Linked DNA regions of Drosophila melanogaster. The protein of the gene in region 2 interacts with the protein of the main gene of each other region in a pairwise test. Each region holds a gene or a part of one and is shown on either strand. Other genes may lie near its edges.

Evidence for each region.
Region 1: the proteins of Tat (region 2) and CG10570 interact in a two-hybrid assay, tested with the Drosophila melanogaster proteins (one large-scale study listed by BioGRID).

The regions. Positions count from the first base shown.
Region 1 is NT_033779.5:18,805,887-18,813,401, forward strand, and holds CG10570 (uncharacterized protein), read right to left. Parts: upstream 5,101-7,515; 5' UTR 4,986-5,100; coding exon of another isoform or gene 4,933-4,985; intron 4,799-4,932; coding exon of another isoform or gene 4,699-4,798; 5' UTR 4,597-4,698; coding exon 4,375-4,596; 3' UTR 2,808-4,374; downstream 1-2,807. Other genes in the region: CG42502 (uncharacterized protein), read right to left, coding at 4,699-4,798, 4,933-4,985; CG42305 (uncharacterized protein), read left to right, coding at 7,214-7,257, 7,412-7,514.
Region 2 is NC_004354.4:14,258,049-14,265,563, reverse strand, and holds Tat (tyrosine aminotransferase), read right to left. Parts: upstream 4,342-7,515; 5' UTR 4,205-4,341; coding exon of another isoform or gene 4,157-4,204; 5' UTR 3,980-4,156; coding exon 3,631-3,979; intron 2,115-3,630; coding exon 1,600-2,114; intron 1,534-1,599; coding exon 1,240-1,533; intron 1,174-1,239; coding exon 826-1,173; 3' UTR 185-825; downstream 1-184. Other genes in the region: mud (mushroom body defect), read right to left, coding at 7,334-7,515.

The DNA.
Region 1 (7,515 bases), on a different chromosome or scaffold from region 2:
TCGCAGACTGATTTGTTTGCTGTGTGCCGCATATACCGATACACACACATACACACTGGCACATTCAATGTACTTCCGGTGGCGGAACAGGAACAGGAGCAACTGCGAGCCGCGACTGGATTCGGTTTTGAAGTTGCTTTCAAGGCCCTTTGACAGACGCAGCGACGGATAATACACACTTAATTGCTCAAAATGATGCGATTGTGGAGCGATGCATATGCCACACACGAGTCCGCTACCACCACACAGATACGCACGCACACTGGCAAAGGGAAGTACATCACCCATCTGCACCACCCGACCAGCGAGCGGCGAATGGAAAGCTCAGCCACAACTTTTTGGCGCGCTCTCTTTGGACAGGCTGTAAAAACAGGAGGAAACTGGTGAAAAAGGGGTGTTAAGGGGGTGGTGTGAGGGGGCCAACAAAGAAGAGGGAGTTACCCTGCTTATGTATTTAAGCCACAACAAAGACACTCGAGAGCATATCATTGGCGTTTTGTGACGACCTCTCCGCACTTGAGCTCACATGAGCCGCAGGCCATAATTGCATTTAAAGGATTTGCACTCTGCCCTCGCAAACCCCACTCCCCGAACCTTTCCCACATGCGGCTGTGCGTACGAAAACATGCTAAATATGGTTATTGAAGGGCAGCACTCTGGGAAAGAAGTTGGGCCAGTGAGGCCTGGGAAATCAGCTTCCAAGTCTTAGCAAGAAGAAAAACTCTTGATATTTGGGACATTCAAAAACCATATTTTGAAGCACCAGATCTAAAATGTAAAATCTTTAAAAAAAGATCGAACTATCGATCCACAAAATAATTTTAAAATATTTCTAAAATTTATAAAAATAAATCTGCCGTATTTTTGTATATACCCTAATTCCCCAGGCTGAAACTCACATCCTTAGAATGTCCCACTCTCAAATTATCCCGAGACGACCCACAAAAAAGCAACCGCAGTTCTGCGTTTTACTTGAGAACCACTCCACGTTCGTTCAATTCTGCCCAGTTCGAAGCACTCCAGTGTGGAGTGGAGCCCCACCCCCCACGAAATTGCCTGCCCTCTACGCCCCTGGGGTTTCAGAATGCTACTCGCCTTGCCATTGTTTCAATTTTCATGTCGATTTGGCTGTTTTCGTTTTGATGACCTCGCCGCAGCAGCCGCAGAACTGTTCGGAATCTATAAATACTGGCAATCATTACGGGGTCTCATATTTTTATTGCATATTTTATAGGATCTCAATCTGAATGCGAGTGCGATGCAGCACTGAAACAGGGGCAGCAACTTCAGAATCTTTGTTTCTGCAATCCAATTGTCATTCATGACAGCTGTCGATCAGGAATGGCGGCTGAAAAATGTATCCGCAACAATGGAAAACGAGGGGGCAAACGGCAAACGAGGTGGTTGCTTTTGATTTGGATTCTTTAAATGTTCCCTCTGCGATTGAATTGAGTTCATGCTTCTCTGTTTTTCTGTGTAATTGCCACCTTTTGTCACGGCGAATGTTTGGCATATTTTGTAAATTATATTCTACGCAAGATCAATATTTGCATAAGTTTATAAGAGGTTATGTGATATGATATATCTGAAATTTACATGATGCATGCAAATCCAGGGATTGATAGAGATGATTACAATTGACAGAAGAAAATCTAGTTCGATGAGAATATATTAGAAAGGGTTGCGTTTTGAAAGCGGAGAGGAAACTTAAGATACGAAATTAATTGACTAGAGCTGGGCTTATATATTATATACATTTGATGTCAAAGTTTGTAAGTCGAAAATGTGAATATGATAGGGGTATAGAATATCTTAAGTGTTTTAAAGGCAACACATTTAGGGTGCCTTTTTACAATTCACTTATCCACTTTGTATCTGCCCACATCTTCAGCCAGCTGATTCTGATCGAATATCATGCAAATCCTCCTGGATTCTCCCATTCTCGGGGCAATCAATTTCAGATGCGTCACACCTTGCCAGCGATTCGACATCGACATCCAGTGTGTCTGCCATGTGGCGATGACATTGTCATGTGCCAAACAGGAAGGCAAAACACCTTTGCCGAGATGTCAACGCCCGTACATTATCATCGAGTACCTACATTCAAATGTAATTCGCATCTGAATCGACTTTGGGCATTTGTACATTTTCAACTGCTGCTGGCGGAGACATCCGCGACGGGAAATGTGCCGACAATTGTTTTGCAAGCGGGCGCAACTCCGGGGCAAAGTACTGCAAACTCGGCAATCCGGTGGTTATCCTGTTGGCTGCAAAACATCTGTCGGATGTCATCGGAAGTTGTATCTGACGGCACGCCCCAAAACAAATTTGCCTGGCAGTTTGAAACTCACAAATTTCGGAGGCGTTGGCAGCGACTCAGTTGAAGTGTGGGCATGGCCGCCCTCTTCCACTTTTTCAACGCAAGCTGCTCGGGAATATTTCACGGCACTTGGGGCGTGTATGGTGTGCCTCGGCAGAAGTTACGGATATTATTCATAATTTCCCAACGTGCCATTGTGACATATGCCATTAGAGGAAGGAATTAGGGGTCTGTCGTGCTGGGTTGTCTCTAAGCGGAAATCACTTTTCAGTTGATAAAGCCAAAGATTTGATAAGGCCAACACGCGCGGGTTGTTAGAAATTCAAAAGAGAAGAAATTGCGATAAATATTTGTCCAGTATAACATTCGTGAAAAATGTATTCAACATTGTACTGATTTTGTATATAAAGAGTCTGCGTAGAAGATAAAAACCTATATGAAAAATTTATATTACAACGTATTTAGACCATGTACTCCACGAGTACCAATTACTAAAACAAAAATCACAGCACCCACAATTTTTGTGGGTTTTCGTTGATAATGACGTGATAATTGCTTCTGTCTGATAAATCAGAGAGCGTTGTCCCGTTTCGGAAGCCTTGCAACTGACACATTCCACACCAGTGAGCAAACTCGGGCTGAGACACAGTTTATATTCGTAGCAAAGTTCAAAGGACACCTGCGGAGCGGTTTTAATTGCATCGCACAACACCAAAAGTGACAAGGAATCTTTTGGGTGCTGAGGACCGCCTGGCGCTAGGAAACAAAGTAATTACAAGGCCCAGTACAGACAGAAGCCCAAGCAGATGGGTTGAGTCGGAGGCAAAGGGAGTGGCAGGACTCGACTAGATGAGTTTCACTTAGAAAAATCATGGTGTGTGAATTTATATTGAATGATATAGAAATGCATATCCATATTTTTACTTATATACTTAAAATTGATAATAGCAGTTCAAAATCGAAATGATTTGAAATAAGTTGTAAATCGTGTTCTTAACTTTTCTCCGTGTAAAGGACATTGACAGCTGGCTCCCGGAAAGGAAAACCCGAAAACGCCACAACATTTATTCTTTGACGCCGGGATGGGACTGGCGGAGAGTGCGAGAATTCTATTAGCACCGTCAAGGAAATCGCTTTTTCTAATAGCCAAGTGCCACGTGTCCTGCGAAGCTTGAGTCCCCTGCTCAGTCGTGTGTCACGACCGAAGGACAACCGCAGCATCCTTCTCACTCCCGCTGCAAAATAAATGCTTCCCAGCCCGGCAAACAATACAATTGAAAAATTATAAAAATTTCGCACTTTCCAGAAATATACAGTCGAACGAATTCTCGTAGCGAAAACCGGACGTCGTCCTCTTGCGGCTGCACTGGGAGATACACTTGTTGTCGGCAAAGGACACGCGTCACAGATGGAAAGAGCGGGGGAAATCGAAAGGAAAAGGGGATGGCCAGACATCATCAATATTGCAGGAATCGCTCGGCAGATTGAGGCTGTCAAATAAGCGTGTCTAATGCGTATTAAGTGCTCTCCGTCCGGATTCATCGAGGGTTGTCCGTATGGCCCAATAGAGAAGTTGGCTTAATCACGCTAATAGCCGCAATTCATGCAAATGCTGCAGACAATAAAATATGCGTTGGGTATCAGTCAAGTCAATTCGAGTCAAACAGCAAGGTCAAATGGCAATGAATATTGTTAGGTGATTGCATTTGGGGTTGGCTCTCAAATGGTAAATGAATGAAATAACATTCTGGGCTTTAAGTTTAAAGGTTGAGTTAGAAATTATGATTCCCGAGATACTTTCTCACCACCATTAAAAATCTCATTTTTTTGGCGCATCTTCTTCTGATTTAATTTTTTAGCCAATTGATTGATTAATGATTTCTTTTCTTTTATCACATAGCAATGAATAAGTCTATAAAATGGCTTACAAAACTAACCTAAAGCGGCCCTGCTGAACCAAATAGAAATAACAACGTTATCAGCCCCCAGCTTCCCCGTTTCTCAAGGATCACCACATTCCTAGAGGAACATTTCAATGGGATCTACTAAAGCATTTAGGAGAAATGCATCCCATTGAATTGCTGGCGATCGGTTTTCACCATGTTGTTGTACTTCCACTTGTCAGCACTCGATGCTTGACTGCTCCAAGATCCCGATCCTGATCCCGAACCCGATCCAGAGCCGCTGCTCGACTTGGAGTGGTTCTGACCCTTCGTGGACTGGTTGTCCTTTGTGGTGCTGCTCAGGCACTTGTCGGTACGTTCGGTGTAGACCATTTTGTCTCTAGATCTAGATAGCTTCCTTCTTTTTGAATAGGTACAATTTTCTGCCGATTACACAAAGCTGCGCTTCCAATGCGTTTGTAGAGAAGTCAAAGTTCACGGTACAGTTTGCAACAGGGTGAGTACTTTAAGTTCCTTGTTGTTGGCCGAGTTTCCAGTACGTGATCCTTTTTTCGATGACAGATGTTTGCCCAATCTATTCAAATTAAATAAGCAAGGATTTGTATTAGTAACAATTCATATAAATTTTTTTTTTTTAACTGGACATTGCAAATGCTTTCACAATTATGTACAATAATTTTAACTGGCTCTGTCTGGTTTTTTACCCACCTTGCTTGCTTCAACAATTTTTGTTTGGAATCCGTGTGGCTAATTTTTGGCATTGACACAAAACTTTTGCAAATTGCACATTGGATGGAAAAGAAAGGAAATTTCACAGCTCACGCTCCGTTCAGCTCGTTACCGATCTGCTCTGCTCTGGACTTTCTACTGACCCTCCAGCGGCTTCCACAACTGGTTTAAATACGCCGAACCAATCCGTTCCGTTCCGATGCGATACGATCTCCGGCGATCCGAGTGCAATGTCTGGCGGAGCAACTGCGTCACCGTTCTACCAGCAAGTAGCGTCAATGTCGCTGTGCCAGCTGCACCATATCCAAGCCGCCAGAAACCGCCCTCGCACCGCCCCCGCACCACTCCCTCCCCCCGTTGACCTCAAACTCGGTCTCCGTCTGAGGCTAACCCGTTCCAGCGGACGACAATGCAAATTAGAGCTCTAGAGCAACTGGTTTAATCCGCGAAAACGAAACGAAACCTTTGCAAGCAACTCCAGCGGCCAGCAACGAATCGACTACAAGATACCATTTAAAACAATAGAGACACATGGTACAAGTATTGTTTAATTATATATTACTATATAGAGATTTTCTGAATATTATTAGGTTTAACAAAATGCTTGAAATCAACTGTTATTTGCTATGTACTATTAATAATCGTGTTAAAGTTTTGCACAAGTAATAGTACTTTTTGTCATTCAAACCTTTTCATTAGGTTTAAGCAATATAATAATTTTTGTGAAACTTCAAACGCTTTTCCAAGCGAAGCCTCTCTTATAAGCGGTATTACCAGGGTATAAAACACCCCCAGTAAAACCTGCTATGTATCACGTAGTATTTTCCTTTGTCTCCTCTCAACAAACATGATTATTAAGACTCGAAAAATGTTTAGAGTTGCCGGCCGGCGGTTTTTTGACACGTCATCCAAAATTCCGCAAATAGGACCTTTGCTATGGTATGTAGTCTCTAAAATTCTGATATTCCGTAGCACGGCGATGCATTCGAGTATCTGCCTATATATGCATCTATAATGATTAACAATATCATCCGATCACTATTGATATTACGAATTATGCATGAACCGATGGCTGATGAAAAGTCTTGGTTGCATTGCATCAGCCAATTTGATGAAGAAAACAACTCGAAAGCCTGTTGCCGGTTAATAGTATTTTAATCTGTTGTTTGTTGATATATAGAGATTCGATCTGAATTATGCTCATATCCAGACAATAGATATTGTATGGAATCTCAAATCTAAAAATGTTTTATTTTTAATCTCTTAGATTGCCTGATAATATAGAAATACCTTGTACAAAAAATCCTAAGGATTCCCCCGTTAGTGAAAATAATTATGCATCATTTGAATTCTTCAGAAACTAGTTATACTTGCAAGTATTATTTTGTAGATTCCGGATAATATTTAAATGTAAATATCCCACAAAAACAGTTTCATAGGTTTAATGACATCCAGGACCCCCCAAGCTTCTACGCTCTTCTCCTAGCGGTAATTCCAAAAAGAAACCCGTTAGAAGAATTCTAAAGCAGCAAATCGGATATTGTACTTTGAACGTCTAATTCGCCGTTTTAAATGTCAAAATCTGCATTTGACTTGAATAATATATAGCCAGATATGTCTGCCAAATATTTTGTTCAGACTGCATTATGCAAATGCGCCAGACACACAGTTCAATAATTAAAAAACGTGCCCAGACACTGGACAAAGAAAATAAAAAAGGTTGTATTTTTTTAAGAGTGCCGGAGCTCAAAAATGCGTTTTCAAAAATCTATATAAAGACAGGAGTGCTGAATACCTTAACACTATACGAGATATCGTCAAGTCAAGAAGAATGCTCAACAGATCCTTGGGAAACCACCTGAAACATTATGGATCCAGAAAATTCCCCTTACTAATTTGTTTACTTATACCTTTGTTTGGTGTTTGGGTTTGTTTATTCTATTAGAGATGTTTACTGTCAAATGGAGGCCCGCGTGGCAAACTTGATTTCCATTGACGTACCACTCGTTGGCGTAAACAAGAAATTTGGCACAAGTCTACTGTCTGCTCCTCCGATTTTGCATCAGAGCCCCCAAAAACTAGTTTATCTCGATCACGCTCCCCACTCGTGATGATATCACTAAGTCCGCAACGCTTTCTGATATAAAAGCCCCTCTATCGGTTCGAAAGCCAACACACTAAAGTTCGAAGGCCTAGCAGTCGATACCTAATCAGTGATTTTCAAAAATATTTTCCCCAAAGTGCATAAACAAATGTGTCAATGAAGACACCGGACACCAAAGCCAAGTTGCTGAATAATATAAGGTGAGAATGCAGACGAGAAGCAAATTCAACGTGTTAAAGTTTTAAAGACAACAAATATCACTTACAAAATGTGAAGTGCATTCGTTTTAGTAGAGCTTAACGTGTTCCCTCGTTCCATTGCCATAAACTAATGTGCCCCATTCTTTGCTTGCAGTCTATCTAAACACCTGTCTTCCAAGAAAGGCGGCTCTCGCACTAGTAACTGCGGCAATTGTCTGGAATTCTCCGTACTCACGCGTCTCTCCAGCGTGCCCTGAA
Region 2 (7,515 bases):
AAAAGGATGCCCCTCTCCCGGTTAGCCTGTAGGTGGGATTGGGTTCTCGTGCTCAGGTCCTCGTTCAAAAACACACACACACTCCACAATCAACAGGATTTGTCCCAGAGTTTCAGAAATTTGTAAGACCCCTTAGCTAGAATTTAATATATATTTTTTTTTTTTTGGCATTAACAGTGCTGTTGAATGCTGAAATGTGGGGACCATTCAATTACACTTCACAACACTCAACAGCATTCTAATTACGTTTCACAGCCCATTAAGCAACATTTTAAAATTTCTTACAACGAATATACATACAAATATCATTCATTACACACATCTAAATCCAATTTATGCGAAAATGTTCAGCATTTTTAAATTGAAATCACACGTTAGATAAAGGCTGCCAGAAAATTTATTTGAAACTAATAGAAATAATTGTAACTAGCAAGAAGGCATCATCATATCATATCCTGTTCCAAAGGAGCACTACTTTCACCAAGTTTAACATTTTTTGCACAGAACCCCAGCCAGCCTACAGCGCCAGATAGCTCAAATATAGGCCTATATATATATATATAAATTTATATTATATATATTTATATTCAGAAGTCCTCCATAATGACCATTTACTTAGCCGCAGTTTACTCGCTCTTTCTAAACTCTATCTATCTGTGTGTGACGCGCTTTACTTTTCCAGCAATTTTTTGAGACAATACTCCTTATATTGGATAGTTAAAATGATTGATATATATATATATATAGTATATATACATACATACACTTATGTACACTTGATAAAAATTGTAGTCTAGAATATCTAATAAATGTTTTGCTCCCAGCTCAAAAGGCCACATCATCGCAGTCGAGCAGTCCGTGCTCAATGAAATTGCGCGACTCCTTTTTGTAGTGGCGATCGCAGAACTCGGCAATCCTGGAGCACGCCTCCTCGATCATTGCCCCGGGCACAGTAAGTACGATCCGCACGTATCCCGGGTACTCAAAGCAGCTGCCCGGCAGACAGAAGACACTCTGCTCATTCACCATCTCCTGGACAAAGTGGGTGTCGTCCTTGAATTCCGGGAAGCGTTCGATGCTCACGCCTATCATCATGTACATGGCTCCATTGGGCATTACGGGATCGAGGCCACGCACCTGTTTCAGCATCTTGTAGGCCAGCATGGCATTCGACTGTGGGATAAAAATAATCATATAATAATTATCCATTAAGCTGATAATTACAAATGATAAACTTACGTGGAGCACATCAATCACGCCGTCAAAATAAGACTGCGGTGTCTTGGTCAGGATATCGGGCAGGGCACCCTGAATGATGGTATTGGAGCCCAGAATGCGACCACACATGTTCTTTAGACCGACAATGGCATCGCGCAAACGATTCTTGCGATCGTGCACTATGATCCAACCCATTCGCCAACCGGGAACCAGGAAGCGTTTGGTCAACCCGCCACAGGAGAGAACTGGAACCTCCGTGGTCAGGCTGCTCACGGCCAAGTGCTTGGAGCCGGGGAACACAAAGTGCTCATAGATCTGCAACGAAAGCAAAGGCAATTCAATTCAATTATTTCATGTGTGCTCGATTTAAGGGTCACTCACCTCATCGGCAATGATGGGCAGATAGTGGCGTTCGCAGATGGCTATCAACTCGCGCAGATGCTTCTCATCGAAGACGCTGCCACAGGGATTGCTCGGATTGTTGATCAAAAGGGCGGCGGTGTTCTCATCGATCAGGCTCTCTAGCTGAACGAGATCGGCGCGCCACTGCTGATCGGGCAGAAGATCGTAGTAGCGCACCTCGATATCCAAGCCCTGGGCCAGCGTATAGTACAAACAGAAACCCGGTCGCGGCACCAGAACATTCTGACCACGATCCGCCAGCGCCAGGATGCAGTACTCCAAGGCGGAGGAGCAGCCGCTGCACAGCACCACCTCGTTGGCATCGATCTCTCCGTCGGGACGCTGGTGGGCACTGTATTTGGCCACCGCTTTGCGGGCTATCTCGTGACCCTGGGTGCTGGCATACCCATTGTACTTGCCGCTCTCCAGGGAATGCAGCACCGCCTTCATTGTCTCATCGGCGGCTTTTAGATTGCCAAAGGTTGTGGGATCACCTGGTTGAGAAAAGCAAGTTTCAAAATGCATTTAAAATATATAATCTATAATATAAAATAACCTTTAAGCTAATAAAATAATACAGAAAATATTCCATCAGTGAATTGCCTAATTTATGGAATAAAGTGCATTTATTTTTGGAAACGGAATGCAAAATGGTGTTAAAAAAATAAAAATCAGGCGACTTCGCATCCGAATCTCTGATTGCATTGGGTCAATGGCTAACTCGTTCGTTTCCGGCTAACTTCGATTCCCGATTCCGATGGCTAAGCAAGCAGCAGCAGTATAATCTGGCTCAGATCCCGAGTTCGATTCCATTCCATTCGATTCGATTCGATTCGAATGGATTCTCGACTTTGTCAAACAGGTGGAACTACATTTTATGCAAATGCCCCACAAAACACAAATACAGTGCGCGTGCCTCGCTACAAAAATAATACGATATTACTAAAAACAAAACAAAAAAAAAACAATTAAATTATATACAAGAACAAGAACAACAACAATCGAAACAACAACAGCTTTACAGATTTTATATATCTGGTATCTGGCATATTTTAGCACAAATTTAGAAACTCGCGACAATCGGCAAAATTAGCTTCTCTGTAAATTTCCTAAGCCAGAAAGCCAGTAAGCCCGAATTCCCATTGAGCTCTAACATTTCAGGGAAGTCCAATGTCCCAACTTATATAACGACTTATAAGCATTATAGCCGAAGCACCGATCTCTGATTGGCCCGATTTTGTGGGTGTGTATGACCAATGGATCGCTTTAGTTCACAATGAAACCGAATTCATTGGGTTCATAAAGCTAGTTTTATCAAGTTTGGGACAACTCAGCTGCCAAAAATAAAAAAAAAACTAAGATATAAATATATATATATATATATTTATAAAACGGCAAGAGCAAAAGAGATCGCACATCAGAAATATTCAAATTTGGCCCAAAAACTTGTAGCAAAAACGTCAGAGGTGTTATGGGGATATGGTGAAATGAGGAGCAGGTTTCCCACGAAACTGGATAGTTAGCACTACCTGCTCAAATATTTTTCTATAATTTGCAAATTTTGGATATTTCAAATCATTGCTTTTAGCCACTATTAAAGGCGTACTTTTCAGATTAATGCATATATAGTAAATAGAAGGCGAAATCCTGATAATGTAAATATACATTATACATACATGCTAAATGCATAGCATACTTCTGAGAATTCTGAAGAGGAAAAGCTTTTAAGATAGATTTTTCAAACACATATGTAAGTTCTGCGTCAAAGGAAATTCAAGAATCAGTAATTTGCAGACAAACTAATAATAATTTATAAGGTTTATATAAAAAGCCCTATAAGTTTTAAGAACTTGAAAGTTTAAGATGTCAACTTTAAATATCTAAAATGAATCTATACAAGAAATATACTAAGTACCATATTTTAAAAGAAAACTGATTATATACGTACAGTTTTTAGAACTTTTACTCTTTAGATATATATTAGTTAATTTATATATTTATGGTGCTCACCAATGGACAGCGGTATCATGGGCTTCTCCGGATTCGGTTTGATCTTTAGCGACTCGACAATGTTCCGAATGCGATTGTGCGTGTTAAGGGATAGCTTGGAGCCCTTTATCTCCCATCCGGAACGCTTTCGGCTGCTGCTGCTCGTGGCTGTGGTGTCCACCAGGTCCTGTTGCTTGCGTATGTCCTGCGATTGGAGCTGCAGCTCGGCCAGCGCCTGATCGACTACATCGCAATTGGGCGTCACCGGCGCCGGGGATTCCGGCTCGCTGGGACTCCGGCTTGTGCAGCTGGCACGATTGCGGCTGCTCTGGTATCGGAACTGACTCTCGTTGGCAAAACTGCTGGGCATTATCACCAGGCCGGCCCTTTTCCCGATTCAACGAAAGAAAATCGAATAGCCAAACCAAACCAAACCAAATCGAATCAAAATAAACAAAAACAAAAAAAAAGCACAAACAAATATTGCTAATATTTTTGATTACGACGATGTCTCCGGTCCCGATTTCTGGCAAATGGAGCACTCTGCTCAAATGAATGAAAAATTTGTATCCTGTTTATCGTTCCAGACGAGCATTAGAGCTGTGATCTTTGGTCAATCACTGTGTTGGACAGACGATTCTTGTTTTCGTTGGATTCCCTTTGGATACACGGTATATGGTTGATATGGGCTAGTACTTTCAAGTCGTTTGCGAATTCTGTGCTAAACTGATCTACTTCGGCGATATCTTGGGGCTTTTATCGCCTCCGGCCGACTTCGTTTAGTCGATTGCTATATAGGCTCTCCATATAGACATCCATATACATATATACGCATATCTGGGTATATATAGCCCATACACTAACATCGCCGGTTATCACGCGCCTGACTTTGGCTTCGGTTCGAGCCGAGAGGGCCGATCGAAAGACTGAAATAACAACAACATAGGGGGCGTCGACTGATTTGAATACCCGCCGGTTCGAAATCATATTCATACTCGGAACCAGATTTTAGTTCGATACGATTCGTTTTGATTTGATTTGATATAAACAACAACAGGCGCCGCCGCCGCCGCATCGCATCGATATTCATTTAAATGCGCCAAAGTTGTCTATAATATAATATATAATCTTGGGCCAATTTGAAACACCAACCGAGCATCCAATCAACCAACCAACCAAAACCATTACCATTAATGCATATCGTGTGGTCGGTCGATCCACCGATCCAACCGACCACCACCTTTCCACCCACTAAACCACGTGCCAATCAACCCATAATATAGTTGGCTAGAGACACAATGTATCTGTAAGATTTTCCTGTTCTCCGATCTCAGCGGTCATCGATCCGAATCACTAATAAACTGGCTAAACTCGAGTATTGCTTTCGGAAAAATGTTGCTATTTGCTACCTATTATTGTATCAACTTCCCACAAAAATTATCAATAGAATACCAGAAAGTTACCACAACAATCCTGCACACATATTATAGATTCAATAATTTCATGCATTTTGTGATAATAAATAAATAAGTTATTTTCATTTGTTTCTGCAATATTTCTACTTTAAAACAAAAGAGAACGACTATCACATACCCGTTACTCAGCTAAATGATATTTAAATTTAAAAATATAAGTTACTTGTAAACAAATTGCAAATCTGGTTGATGGCAAACAAATCTATTTTTCCGCACAAGATAATTGCTACGTTTATAGAAATATTTACATGCCAAGTTGATATAATTTAAATATGAGTTTGTGCTCTTTTTGTAGTCTATTTAAGTTGATTTACTTTGTGAGGATTTTAAAAATCCTTGTTAAATTTAATAACAACTCAGACTTAACGATTAAATCTTTTGAAAGGTGAAAGTACAGAGTTCAAAACTAAAGTAACTCGGACAAAAAATCTGTTCAAGATCGTAGAACAATAAATTTAAAAAAAAAAAAATAGTGGGAAAATAAAAAAAAAACTCACGGCGCATTTAACAATTAATTCGAAAGTGTCCGCTAAATGCACATCTGGACAAACGTGGAATGCACTGCGATACCAAGTCCATAGATGTAATCCCATCGATTTGAATAATTGCATATGCATAAGCGACTATAGGATATATCTGTATCTGAACCCGATCAACTAGATCGGCTAGATAAACTGGCCAAGCACACCTGTTGACGATGACAACGCAATTTCTCAGAATCACGGAGCGGAGATTCCGGTCATTTTGACTCTGATCCCCGGACAGGAATAGGTTGCAAAATTCCAAACTGCGTTGCAAATATCTGTACATCTATATCTATAGATCTTAAGCCATCTGACGCAAGAACTCACAAAAAACAGACCCTGACAAAAGGAGATTCTTCGAAACAGAACAATGTGGTGTCGTATATAACGATTTATTTTGACTTGAAATTGGATTAGTGTCGCAAACACAAGGTGTTTCGAATTAAGGCATTCTTCTATTTTATATTTCAAGTGTCACTCTGGCTGCTTACATTTTTTTTTGAGCTGAAAACATATAAATATAGCATATATATTGCTCTAATCGGATTAGAATCTTAACTTAAATGTAGTTACCACGTCAATACAATTTATTTTCACCCTCGTGGAGTCACATATATATCTTGCTTATAATGAAATAAATGTTGGAATAAATACAATTAAAAATAATAAAAACCTCTAAATATTCACTGTATTCAATCTATTCAACTTTACAACGATTTTACATCTTTTTGAAACTTACAACCAAATCTTTTGAAGCCAACTAATTGTTATTTCAAATTCCTGGCTATTATGCAAATATTCTTCGTATTTTCACTATTCTAGATATTTGTTGTTTACTCAGCATTTACAATAAGTGGCCTTTTACTAAACGCGATAAACAAAAATATGTTTTTCGCTCTAACCTTGCCATTGCATCATAAACAGTCACCGATTTCTCGCAGGCTAGTCGGTCGTTTAGTCGGTTAGTCGGTGGATAAGTCAGCTGGTCAGTCGGTGGAGCGAGCCTCCTGCTCACCTCGTTTGGAGCAGGTTTTCTTGAACTTCTTTTTTCTGGCCACTCGCAGTCACACAGCTGGTCACGCCCCCTCTTCCAATGTGGATAACCAAGTTGCTGGCTGTGACAATTCCGATCATTGTGTAATTTCTTAAGCATCTTGGTGGATATCTCTTTTTATATTATATATATGAAATTCAAGCCAAAACCTTTCAGGTTTTTCTGCCTAACAATATAGAACAGAAAACCAAGATAAATCGAACGTTTCGCTGGCTGATCGAGTAAGCGATCAAATTACACTTTTTTTCGCTCAGTGATTTCTCGTAAGAGTATACGATAGAAAGAAAAAAAACAAAGTAAGCATTTCTAGAATATGTACAGACAATTTTATTTGCATTATTATGTTCGCCCACGATATTGTACCACTGCAACATATGCATACTTAAACTAAACTCTCTAAGTCCTGATGTACAAAAAAAAAAAAAATGGTTACATAAATAATAAGTCAAGAATTCAAGTTCCGATTGATGTACACGAATGGGGGAATATATGTATAATACTGCGACTGCGACCACGCCTACTTGCGCTTGAACATGTTGCTGAGGCGTCGCTTGGGCGGCGAGTTCTGTAAAGGAATAAGTGAACATGATTACACATAACGAACATACATATATCATCATCATAGATCATCAGCAAGATTTGTGCGTTTCCCATTGCTTTCGTTGCCGCTTCTAATTGCGTCCGGGGCACGAATAGGTGAGAAAGACGAGCCCCATTCCCGACAAGATGCCAGTGATCACCAGCACTAGCTTGTCCGCCAGATGCAAGGACAGCCCCACCATGACCAGCAATGCAAAGCCCATGACCAATCGCTGGCCAAGACTCAGATGGCGTAGGAACCGCCTGCACTGAG